2 linked regions of the Coturnix japonica genome follow. The protein of the gene in region 1 purifies or fractionates together with the protein of each later gene. This does not show direct contact. Links are inferred from orthologs where the notes say so. Each region holds a gene or a part of one and is shown on either strand. Other genes may lie near its edges.

The links. Proteins that work in one complex are often made in the same cells at the same time.
Region 2: the proteins of RND3 (region 1) and PLEKHG5 purify together in Homo sapiens (affinity purification with western blotting; 3 studies listed by BioGRID and IntAct, with this or other methods). This does not show direct contact. The link is inferred for Coturnix japonica from reciprocal best matches to the Homo sapiens genes RND3 and PLEKHG5.

Annotation. Positions count from the first base shown.
Region 1 is NC_029522.1:30,901,338-30,907,320, forward strand, and holds the start of RND3 (rho-related GTP-binding protein RhoE), read left to right. Parts: upstream 1-2,034; 5' UTR 2,035-2,193; coding exon 2,194-2,343; intron 2,344-2,438; coding exon 2,439-2,526; intron 2,527-5,983. UniProt on the Homo sapiens protein: Binds GTP but lacks intrinsic GTPase activity and is resistant to Rho-specific GTPase-activating proteins.
Region 2 is NC_029536.1:466,632-471,855, forward strand, and holds part of PLEKHG5 (pleckstrin homology domain-containing family G member 5), read left to right. Parts: intron 1-619; exon of another isoform or gene 620-718; intron 719-1,298; exon of another isoform or gene 1,299-1,402; intron 1,403-2,247; coding exon 2,248-2,377; intron 2,378-2,468; coding exon 2,469-2,571; intron 2,572-2,667; coding exon 2,668-2,728; intron 2,729-2,827; coding exon 2,828-2,919; intron 2,920-2,993; coding exon 2,994-3,130; intron 3,131-3,204; coding exon 3,205-3,353; intron 3,354-3,476; exon of another isoform or gene 3,477-4,321; coding exon of another isoform or gene 4,322-4,594; intron 4,595-4,789; coding exon 4,790-4,975; intron 4,976-5,130; coding exon 5,131-5,224. UniProt on the Homo sapiens protein: Functions as a guanine exchange factor (GEF) for RAB26 and thus regulates autophagy of synaptic vesicles in axon terminal of motoneurons. Involved in the control of neuronal cell differentiation.

The DNA.
Region 1 (5,983 bases):
GCACTCTTCTTAACTGTTTTATTCGTGTCATAGGAAGTGTTGAAGCTGATGACTTGCGAGAGGAGAAAAACGTATCTTGATATTCCCATAAAATCTTATACGAGATCAGTAGTCATTACCAGCGATAATACTGGATTATATGGGTGGCATTAATATACATATAATACTTCCCTGCGTGGAATGCAGAGAAGCTGTGAAAGTCTAGAAAGGAATCAGAGCTGAAGCAAAATGGGGAATGTGAACCAAGCAGAGCGAGAAACCGCGCTGTATAAATCAAAATGGGACTGCGTGTGAAAAATACCGATGGAAACGTTAACCCAGCCGTGTTATCCCCCTCGTTATCAAGATATGTGAAGAGGCATTAAACTTAATAGTATGACATGAATAATAGTTTTACAGGGATTAACATATCTGGGACAGTTTCCCCGAGGAATGACAACAAACAAGCCGTTCCAGAGCAGGCAGGCGTATCTCATAGCTCCCTCTCTTATTGATTGTCACAAGTGCACAGAGCTGTGAGGTCCCACGCTTCCCTCAATAGGAATCCCCAGTGCACACAGTTGGTCCCGGCACAGCCATGCATTATCCCCTTTTTCCTCTGCGGTGCCTCTGTGCCAGCAATGCAGAGTGACCTCTTCTAATATTAGCTCTGGCTGTCGGTTTGAAGCTCCTTGTCTCAGCTGCACGGCCCCGGCGGGGATTCCTTTGCTTCCTTCGCTTTCAGAGCACTGCAGGACAGCTTGAGAGCCGTGGGTTTGGAGCTGGGTGACGCTGGCAGTGGCTGAACTGTGAGAGCAAACAAAGCATGTAAACAGCTATCTCTACTCATATTAGCACAAGGCGTGCTGTGGGAAGTCGTGATGAGTAAGTGCTTGGTGTGCATTAAAGTTTCCACATTCTGAACATAGCTGGATGCAAGCAAATTTTCCGTATAAGCTGTTCAAAGCAGCACGGCTCCCTCCTCCCTGTACCACTGGGTCCAGAGGGAGAAGCCACGCCGCTGCCAAGGAGTGGGTGCCACACAATCTAGAGCCATACAATGGTTTGAGTTGGAAGGGACCCTTAAAGGCAATCTGGTCCAACTCCCTGGCAACAAAAAAGGGATGTTTACAGTATATTGTGGGGCTCAGACCCCGTATCTATCACCTCTCTGGGCAATCTATGCCAGGCATAGGCACTGCCTTTGTTGCATCTTGTCTCCATCTGCACAGAGGAGAGTGCACTCAAGATCAGCAAAAAGCTCCTTCAACCCCATCTTCTTCTCCCCATATACTGGACAGATAGACTTCAGACTGTGTATTTGACCCAAGAAGAACACGGGGCTGTTCTGCCTCTGCTCTGAAGCTCTGTTCCTCCTCATCCTGCCACTATCTCACTGCATACAAAGCCTCTCCCTTCTGTTTACAAGCTCCCCCCAAGTACTGGAAGGCTGCAGAGACCCAGCCCATCTCCCTTGAGTTATCTTCATACATAGGGATGGATGGAAGCCGCAGATGTGCCCAAGTGAGCTGCTCTTCACGTCAAAAAGCCGGGGTGAAAACCTGCATGTCCCTGAGGCCGCCTAATAACACACAGCCGACCAATTTCAGCGTTTGGCTGCTAATTCCCATCAGAACTCAAGTGTCCGGCTGTGTGTGAAGCCCGTCACAGGTGAGTAACGCGGCCATCGCCATGGCCGCCATGTTTGGGACCTGTGGCACTGAGGTTAAAACTGGCCTGCACGTTAAACACCTACAAGATATTCGGGCTTTTCTATGTCAGGCGTTACTTGTGCTTCGTGTTGCAGCCCACACACGGCACGGGCTCGGTTTGTGACACGGATGATGGATTATTCACCCCACGGACACGGCCTGCTCTAAAGCCCCGCTCCCCACCCGTCCGCCCGTCCCGCTCCCTCACAGCGCTCTGCCCCAAGGGGGCGCTCTGCTCTGGCAGCGAGCGGCGAGGGGGCGTGGCCACAGTGCCGGCGGGCGGTGATTGGCGGAACGAGGCTATAAATAGGGGCGGACGGCGGGGGGACAAAGCAGTCTGCGCGGGACCGGCGGGCGGGAGGAGCGAGCGGCGGTGCGTCCCGCGGCTCTGCCACTACCACAGGGGTTACCTGCTTCGGTTTATTTATTTCATTTCTTTTTCCATCGGGTTTGTTGTTTGGTTTTGCGCTGGGGCCGGTCGAAGGATACAAAGAGGAGATCAATGAAGGAAAGAAGAGCGAGTCAGAAGTTATCGAGCAAGGCGGTGATGGATCCTAACCAGAACGTGAAGTGCAAGATCGTGGTGGTGGGGGACAGTCAGTGCGGCAAGACCGCGCTGCTGCACGTCTTCGCCAAGGACTGCTTCCCCGAGGTAAGATTTGGGGTCGGGATGGGGCCGGGATGGGGTTGGGATGGGGTCGGGGCTGGCCGGGTATCGGGTCTGACCGCGCTCTGTCTCTCCCGCAGAGTTACGTCCCCACCGTGTTCGAGAACTACACGGCCAGCTTCGAGATCGACACGCAGCGCATCGAGCTCAGCCTGTGGGACACCTCCGGTGAGCAGCGAGGGTGCTGGGGTGGAGTGGCCGGGATCGGGGCGGTGTGCGGGATCGAACTCGCGTCCGCCCGGCGGCCACCCAGGGCGGGCGGGGAGGAGCCGGGCCCAGCCCGCCCCGCAGCCCCGCGCTGTGCCGGGCAGCACCGAGTGCGGGCGGGGAGCGGCGGTGCGCCTGGATGGGATCCGCTGTGCTGAGGTTCGGGTTTATCGTCTAGCCTTGCTGTACGTGATGGTGAGCCAGCAGACGAGAGGGAAAAGGAAGGGTGTGGACGAATCGCTGTCTGTGTTCGGTGGAAGGCAAATAGGACAGTGGTGTTTGCGTTAGCTTCGCTTTGCCCTGAGCCTTTGCTGCAGCAAAGGGGTGCTTATCGCTGCTCGTACTGCATTGAGCCTGCTGATAGCTGAGTTCCATGTAGGCTCCTTAGTGTCTGCTTTGACAGAACACAGCACATTTTCCAGCTCTTGCAGAAGGCTTTGGGTAGGGCAGCATCCTCGGCCCTCTGAAGGTGCAAGGAATTATATCAGAATCACAGAACGTCCTGTGTTGCAAAGGCCCACAGTGCTCACCCAGCTCCAACCCCCTGCTGTGTGCAGGGTCACCAACCAGCAGCCCAGGCTGCCCAGAGCCACATCCAGCCTGGCCTTGAATGCCTGCAGGGATGGGGCATCCACAGCCTCCTTGGGCAACCTGTGAACAGTGCGTCACCACCCTCTGGGGGAAAAACATCCTCCTAAGATCCAACCTAAACCTCCCCTGTCTCAGTTTAAAACAATTCCCCCTTGTCCTATCACTGCCCACCCTCACAAACAGCCGTTCCCCCTCCTGTTTATATGCTCCCTTCGAGGACACCCAGGTAGTACGCAAAAGCCCTTTCTTTTCCAGGCAGGATTTGTATATGTTGAAATTGGACACTTTGGTTCCATCTAAATAAGTCATCATTCCCCTTAGCAGAAACTGAGATTTTAATCCCTTTGCAGAAAAGGAATGTAGACCGTGAGTTGCCTTTCCCCTCGCTGTTCAGGAAATGGTTTTGAAGGCTTGCAACATGATTACTGGGAAAAGGCGCTCTGTGTGCCCACGTTCACTATCAGCATAGTTCCAAACAGATTTGTTTTTTATCTTCTGCCAAGATAGACTTTCATGCTCCTTCAGTGTGTCTGGCTTGAGCTTTCATGCTGATGACTAAGTAGCAAACTCAGTGGAGTAAGGCCTTATTAATTTTTAATAGTTGGCCAAGTTTTTTTCTCTGGCAATTTCTATGTTTAGTTATTAAAATACAGCACGTGGGTCGTTTGACTTGCAAAGGTCTGGAATCTGTTATGTCAAAGGCTGGTGACACCCGTGTGATGAAGCATCCTGTAGCACTTCAAAGGGTGGCAATGCTGAAGAGAAGCACCTGCAAAGCAGTGCATGGTCATGCTTTCAGGCCCATCCTGGAACAAGCAATTTGGCAGTCAGGAGCTTCAGAACAAGTGGTTAACATCTCTGCAGTCTGAAACCAAAGAGGAAATGGTTGAGGGATGCGATGCTCAGACTGGTAGCACTCTGCTTGTGGGATTCTGCAGCTCAAGTCTCTAAGCAACTCTTCCTGTTGACTGTGGGAAGGCAGGGCCCAACACCCCAACACAAAATCACATCATCACCAGATAAGAGACGTAAGGAGATAAGATCCAGTTGCAGCATTATCTCAAGTTCTTGGTAATTTTAATTCTTTACAAGGCTTTGTCATAGCTCTCTGCTGAATTACAATAAATGGCTTAATGACTTCCAAGCAGCCCAGGATGTAGTTAACTTCAAAACATGACTTGTGCTAATGGTGGACAATGTCCATTGCAACATGGGTCTGGGGGGGAGTTAATGGCCCACCTCGTGGCTTTTGTTCTCTGTTTTGTGACAGCAAAGGGTGAAAAGTGGGTGCAGATGAGTTTAGTGTGCTGCAGATATTTCAGGATGACTTTGTCAGTGTTTGAAAGCCTCACAAAACAAGCCTCACTGCCACAGTTCTGCTTTACCCATTAAAGAAGTGCCTTATACAATGTGCTCATTACAGGAGGAATCTTAAGGGCAAGATGTGGAGCATCACACAACTGAACTTTCAAAGGAAGCCGTACTTTTATTAGGAAGTTTTTGTTGTATCCACATAGAGATTTGGGACAAAACACTCGTAAGTAGGAGTGGAACGGGAAGATTCATTATTCAAATATTTTCTGGTACAGTCTAGTTCTGCAAGTCATAAGGATTGAAATGAACCGCAGCATTAAGGGAAGTACTTGCCAACTTGAATTTCAATTGGTTTTTGGACTACCAACCCCTTCTCTTTTTTTTTTTTTCAGAGCAGGAATGTCTGGTTGCAATAGAACTCAGTCATAAATTATTCCATTGGGTGGTAATGCACTATGGCAGTCTGGGGCTGCTTGGCAGCTCTGCTCCTTTTGCAGCGTTTCAGAGAAGGCTCCTCAGCCTTATGGGCACGTTGAGGAATCCTGTATCAGATGCGTTTTGTCTGATGCACTCATGATTCAGTGTTTCTTGCCTTCTTCCATTTAAAAAAGGAGATGGCTTTTTGATATGCAGAGCTTTCAATCCAGTCGGCTTCCGTGCAGTTTGAATGAGCACAGTGTATCCCATCTATATGGTAGTTTGCTCTGCTTTGGAGCGTGGTGGGATCTGGACAGACAGTGTTGTTTTCTGTTAGAGGTACAGTAATGTCAGCACACAAAACACTATGAACATGGTGATATTTGTGTGTTTGGAGAGGTTCCATTTTCTCCGGAATGGCGAAGGTGAATCAAGAAGGAGGAAAGACACCAGCAGTGAATCAGCCACTTGGAGCTGCCGCTGCGGTGTTTGGTGCTTTCAGTGTAGCTGATAATTAATAAGCCTGAGGAGCTGGGAGTGGGAGAGCTGCTGTTCATCTGTTGTTCTTTCAGTTGACTGGAGTCCAAAAGGCAACAAAGACGAGCGCCCGATGGCTGCTCCGGGGTGTGCAAATAGTGAAATATTGCCTGTTTCTGGGTGCTGGTGGTGTGCAAATAGCTGAGCGCTGCCTGTTCCCAAGGTTTCCCTCTGGCCCGAGGCAGGGCTGAGGTCCAGCTCTGCAGGAGGGACGTGGGCTGAGCCACCTCCAGACAGGGCTCCAGCTCTCATCCAGCATCTCACAGTGGCACAGAGATGTCAGAAAATCAAAGCATGGACTCAGTTTGAACCACCAGTTTGTCGTGCATTAAGTCAGCAGTATTTTAACCTAAACTTTGGTAACTCCTGTAGCACTCCTGTAGCCTAAACCCAACCAAACGGCTTGATAGGGGGTTGATTCTCTTTAGAAGGGGGTTGATTCTCTTTAGAAGCTGAACAATGCAGTGCTTTGCATGCAGCGTGAGATTTGAGAAGTAGAGCCTTCTTACTGTGTTAATTACTTCGGCTTAGATTATTTAAGCTGCCAAAGAGATAAAAT
Region 2 (5,224 bases), on another chromosome or scaffold:
TGCAGATCCGGGCAGGTGGAGGCTCCCACGGGCTCGCCCCGGCTCCCGGTGCCTCTGGTGCCAGCAGAACCGGTCGGTGCAGTTGACTGGCAGGCGGCCACGGGGCAGAAAGGCCTGGGCCGGTAGGATGTGGCTACGCAGCGGGGAAGGGCTGCAGCCACTTCCCTGCATGGTGGGAGCTGTGCATGGCACGCATCCCTCGGCAGCATCGTGGTCCCGCTGTGTGTGTGTGCCCGCAGGATGGTGCGTGGCTGGGATTTAACTGCGTGGCGGCAGCTTCCATGTTTCCCCACCTGCTGTAATTCAGGCTAATCTCATTGAGCCCGTCTGTCCTGTTCCCGGCGGAGCACAGCTTGGCAAGCCGGCACAGGCAGCGCGGCCGTGCCTGGGAGGGGGGGAGCCTCTGCTGCAGCTCGTTGCTGCGCATTGGGGCTGGGCAGCAGAGCTGCACCGGGCCCCTCCAGGAACAGCTGCGTTCATGTCCGCATCCATTGCGCCGTGTGGAGGGATGGCAGCGCCGTGACCAGGCTGGGAAGCGCCGGGCTCTGGAATTAAGCAGAGCCTGTGGCTGGAAGCGCCCCGTGCCACCTCTCCTAATCTTGTTGATCGCTAATGTAAAGCCGGAGTGGATTTAGGGCCCCTTATCTTTGGCTGCTCGACCTGCTGGCTCGCTCCGGGCTGTCCTTGCTGCCGGTGCCGTGCTGCTGCTCTGCTCCTGGTGAGTGCCGAGTGCTCAGTGTGTTGAGGCCGTGCTGGTGGGGAGGGCGTGCAGTGCTCAATGTGCAGTGCTCAATATGCTGTGCTCAATATGGAGTGCTCAATATGCAGTGCTCAATGTGCTGTGCTCAATGTGCAGCGCTCAATGTGCAGTGCTCAATCATGCAGTGCTCAGCCGTGCAGTGCGGTGCCCCTGGCCTGGGCAGTGCAGGAGCATTGCTCCAGCAACGAGAGTGCTGGCTGTTGGGCCCTGCAGGCCTGGCAGCGCTGCTATGGGCTTTTATGGTGAGCGGATGAGCTGTTTTCTGCAGTGAGGCACACGCTGCCTTTCAGGAGCACCGGGGAGGACATACCGCAGCGGTGACCTTTCGGGCAGTGCGGGTTTCGGGAGGGCTCTGCTCTCCAGCTCCTTCCAGAGCCGGGCTGTGCCCGCACCATCCCGCACCTCGGACCCCGCAGCGCAGGGAGCGGGGCAGGAACCTGCCCGGGGGGGGCGGCGAAGTGCGGGCGGAGCGGGATCCGGCCCGGGGGCGGCGGTGCGGGCGGGCAGGTGAGCGGCGTGTCCGCGGGCGGGTCGTGTTTGCGCGGGTGGAGCCGCTGGGCAAACACGGCGCGGGACACACGTGGCACCGGGACGCGGCCTCGCGACATCCCCGGCGCCGGGCGGGGCCGTGCGGGACGGCAGGTCGGTGTGCGGGGCGGTGCGGGGCTCCCGGAGCTGCCGTGGGCTCTGCCCGCGGATCTCGGCGTCCCGCGGCGGGGCGGGCGGTGGGGGCGGGTGGCCCCGTCGGGGGGCGCGGGCGGCGGCCGCGTCAGCGCTGAGCTCAGCAGCGCCGGGAGGAAGGAGGGCAGGAAGCGGGGGCGGCCGGGGCTGCGCGGAGCTTCCTCTGCCGCGCTCCGGGATGCCGCTCCGCTGCCCTCCCACCTGCCACCTGCCACTCGTGGGGCGCTGCCACGTGGGGACGGACCCCCGGGGTGGGCTGAGCGCCCCCGGCAGCGCCCCGACCCCCGGCGCAGCCCCCAGCGAGGGGTCACGGGCCGAGCGCCCACTGGGGTTAAAAATAAATGCCTGTGAATGACCGGCCGAGGCTGAGGCTGGGCGCACAATCGGAGGAAATGCATCGGCTTGCGAGCATTGTTTTGCTGCAGACACTCGCTTCCTCCGTCCTGCCGTGGGGACACTGATCTCACAAACACAAAAGGCTCCGTTGCGGCCCCGCAGCCCCCCTGGGAGCGCAGCAGGTCCCGGTGCACCCTCAGCCCAGCACTGGGACATTGGGAACGGGTGGGTGGGGGCCAGGTGCCCCCAGTGCCTCCAGTGCCCTCTCCCTCCACGCCCAGCTGTGTGCGGCCTTTCTGCTGCAGTCCCTGTGCTCCGAGGGTCTCTGTGCAGTGCAGAGGTGATGGGGAGGGGGCTCAGTGCCCGACAGCACCGCAGCACTGTGGCTGTGTCCCCATCCCCTGCACAGCCCATGGGGGGTCGGGGGATCCTGCTGCTGCCCAGCCCCAGCCCACAGCTGCACCCCACAGGTATGTCACCACGCAGAGTGCCAGCAGCTGAACTGCAGCAGCCCACTTAGCCTGTGTGAGGCCTGTGACGGGCGCCTGCACGGCACCATGCACTTTGATGGGCACATCCGCTTCGATCTGCCCCCACCAGGTAAGCTGGGCTGGCTGTGACCTGGGCCAAGTGATGGGACACAGCGGGTCCAGCTTGTTCAGCACAGCACAGCCCCAATGCTCATTGACAGGCTCCATCCTGGCCCGCAATGTGTCCACACGCTCGTGCCCGCCACGCACCAGCCCTGCCTCCGACATGGAGGATGATGACGAGGGATCAGCAGATGGGAGAGGGTGAGTGAATGTCCCAGCCCTGTCTGCAGTGCATGGGACAGAGCGGGTGCCATCAAACCCTGCAGAACACCTGGCTCTTTCTGCTCCTGCCCGCAGAGACAGGAGAAGCTCAGCACTGAAGCTGCCCAAGAAGAAGGCTCGGCGCAGGCACACGGATGTAAGACACCATCCCCTCCCCAGGGCTCTGCTGTGGGGTTGTGCTGTGGCCACATCTGAGATGGGAGGGAGCCCTTGGTGAGCTGCGTGTCTCCTGCAGGACCCCAGCAAGGAGTGCTTCACCCTCAAATTCGACCTGAATGTTGACATCGAGGCGGAGATCGTGCCGGCCATGAAGAAGAAGTCCCTGGGGTGAGTGTGCCTGTGCCAGGCATGGCCCCAGTGGGCACAGAGACCCACAGGACCCATAGGGATGGTATCCACAGGGATGTGCTGCTGCCGGTCTTTGAGAGGAGGGCGATCGAGCAGAGCAAGGTGGACATCTACCTGGACCAGTCCAACACGCCGCTGTCCCTCCAGTTTGAGGCGTACCGCTTCGGGGGACACTACCTGCGGGTGAAAGGTGTGGAGGGGGGAAATATAAAGCCAGCCCTGCACCTCGGGGCTGGGGGCTCTGACAGCTCCGTGCTCCCACAGCCAAGCCCGGGAACGAGCTGAAGGTGGAGCAGGCAGCACGGGATGCACGCTCAGCCAGCCTGCCCATCCTGCGCCCCGCCGGCACCGCTGCACTCCTCGGGACAGGGCTGGAGCCAGGGCCAGGCCGCAGGGAGGGCACCGACATCCTGGTGAGTACACACAGAGCTCCATCAGCGCTCCATGCCTCATGTGCTCAGGGGGGTGGGGGCACAGCAGGGCAGCAGGGTGTCTCCTGGTTGGCCTCATGCCATGGGGGTGCCAGGGGTACAGCACTGCAGTGCGGGCAGTGCCCTGCCCCAGGTGTGGCAGCTCAGCTGGCAGCCCTGCAGCTGTGCCATGTATGGGCTGGTCCCTGAGCAAAGTAAAGCTCAATGGCTCTGAGCTGCCACGTGGACCCCAGGGCTCGCCCTGGCTGCACTCCTGGCCAGGATGTGGCCACCGTCCCTCCTCGCCTTGGCACCTGTCAGCTGCTGTGTGCAGCCTCAGTCCTGCCCCGTGGACCCTGGCCCCAGATAAGCCGTGGGGCCGGATCTGCTGCCACTCCCTGTGGGAGCAGATGCCACCTTCGTGGGGCCACGCAGCTCCTGCTCCCCAAGGTTTGGCTCTGGTGATCCCAGCGTGGGGACAGAAGCTCCTGGCCCCCTGTGCCAGAAGCCCTTGAGGGTGCCAGGCTGGCTGTGTGGCCGGGGCTGGTGGCCGCCCGCATCCGGCAGTACGATGCCTGGCAGCAGGACCAGCACTGCGCTGGTGGCACAGAAGGGATGGCAGTCACAGGACCACCTCCACTGCTGGGCCCCCGAGAGCAGGTGGGAGCGGAGCCAAAGCTGGGCAGCAGGGCCAGTGTGGGCTGGGGTACTTGGGGACACCGTGGCATGGTGAGCTATGGGCATGTGCTGGGGCAAAGTAGAGGGCACGCTAGGCATGTGTTGGCTGTCACAGCCTGGGGACAGTGTGTCTCGCTGTGCCACGCAATGGCCCTGCTGCACTTTGTGCTGAGTGAGGAGAGGGCAGCAGCCATGTCACAGTGTGGCCTTGGCGTGGGGTGGTAGAGGTGCATGAGCACGGCTGTGCCTGGGCAGGCGGGTGCTGTGTGGCCAGGACCCAGCTCTGCTGCGGGATGGTGGGCTTTGATCTCTGCCAGCGAATTGTTCGGGTCTGTTTAGCTTATCTGGCGAGGAGGGAAATTAGGTTTTCTGCGCTGGCCCCACCTCCTTTTGTTCAGAGGAGCTCGGCCACAGCCTGCCCTGCTCTGCGGTTCAAGTTCAGAGCACAGCTGGGCGGTGTGGGGCTCGGGGTGCTGCACCCCGTGGGATGCGCTGAGCCGCGGTGCCCCTCTGCCACGGGGGGTGGGCACAGGACGCTGCGCTTGGCCCCGGTACACAGGATGCAGGTACGCAGGTCAGTGCGGGTGCGGGCACTGTGAGCTCGTGTCCCATGGGGGCCTGGCTCCGTGCGCCCCGGAAAGGGACCGGCTATGGCACGTGGGGGACACATCAGGGGCAGAGCGCGGCTTTCGGGGGCTGTCCCTGCACTGTGAGGTGTGCAGGGCTGGTGCTGACCTGCGACACCGACTGTACCCACACAGGCTCCGGGCAGGCGGCGGAAGAACATGACGGAGTTCCTGGGGGACGCCAGCATCCCCAGCCCCGAGCCATCCCTGCACGGCAGCGGCTCCCTGCCCACTAATGGCACCGACACCTGGAAGAACCGTGCTGCCAGCCGCTTCAGCGGCTTCTTCAGCTCCGGCGCCAGCACCGGCCCCTTTGGGAGGGTATGTGGGCAGGGGGAGGGTGCGGGAGTCGTGGTGCTGTGCCGGGGTGGTGGTGGGGTGAGGTCCTGCATGGCTGTGCCCCAGATCCACCGGCAGGGCTAGTAGAGCCATGGCACTCTGCCACTGTCCCCAGCCTGTCTGCTCGTGCCTTCCAGCAGGAGGTGGACAAGATGGAGCAGCTGGAGAGCAAGCTGCACACCTACAGCAGCTTCGGGCTGCCCAAACTGCCACCGCAGCTCCGCTTCGACC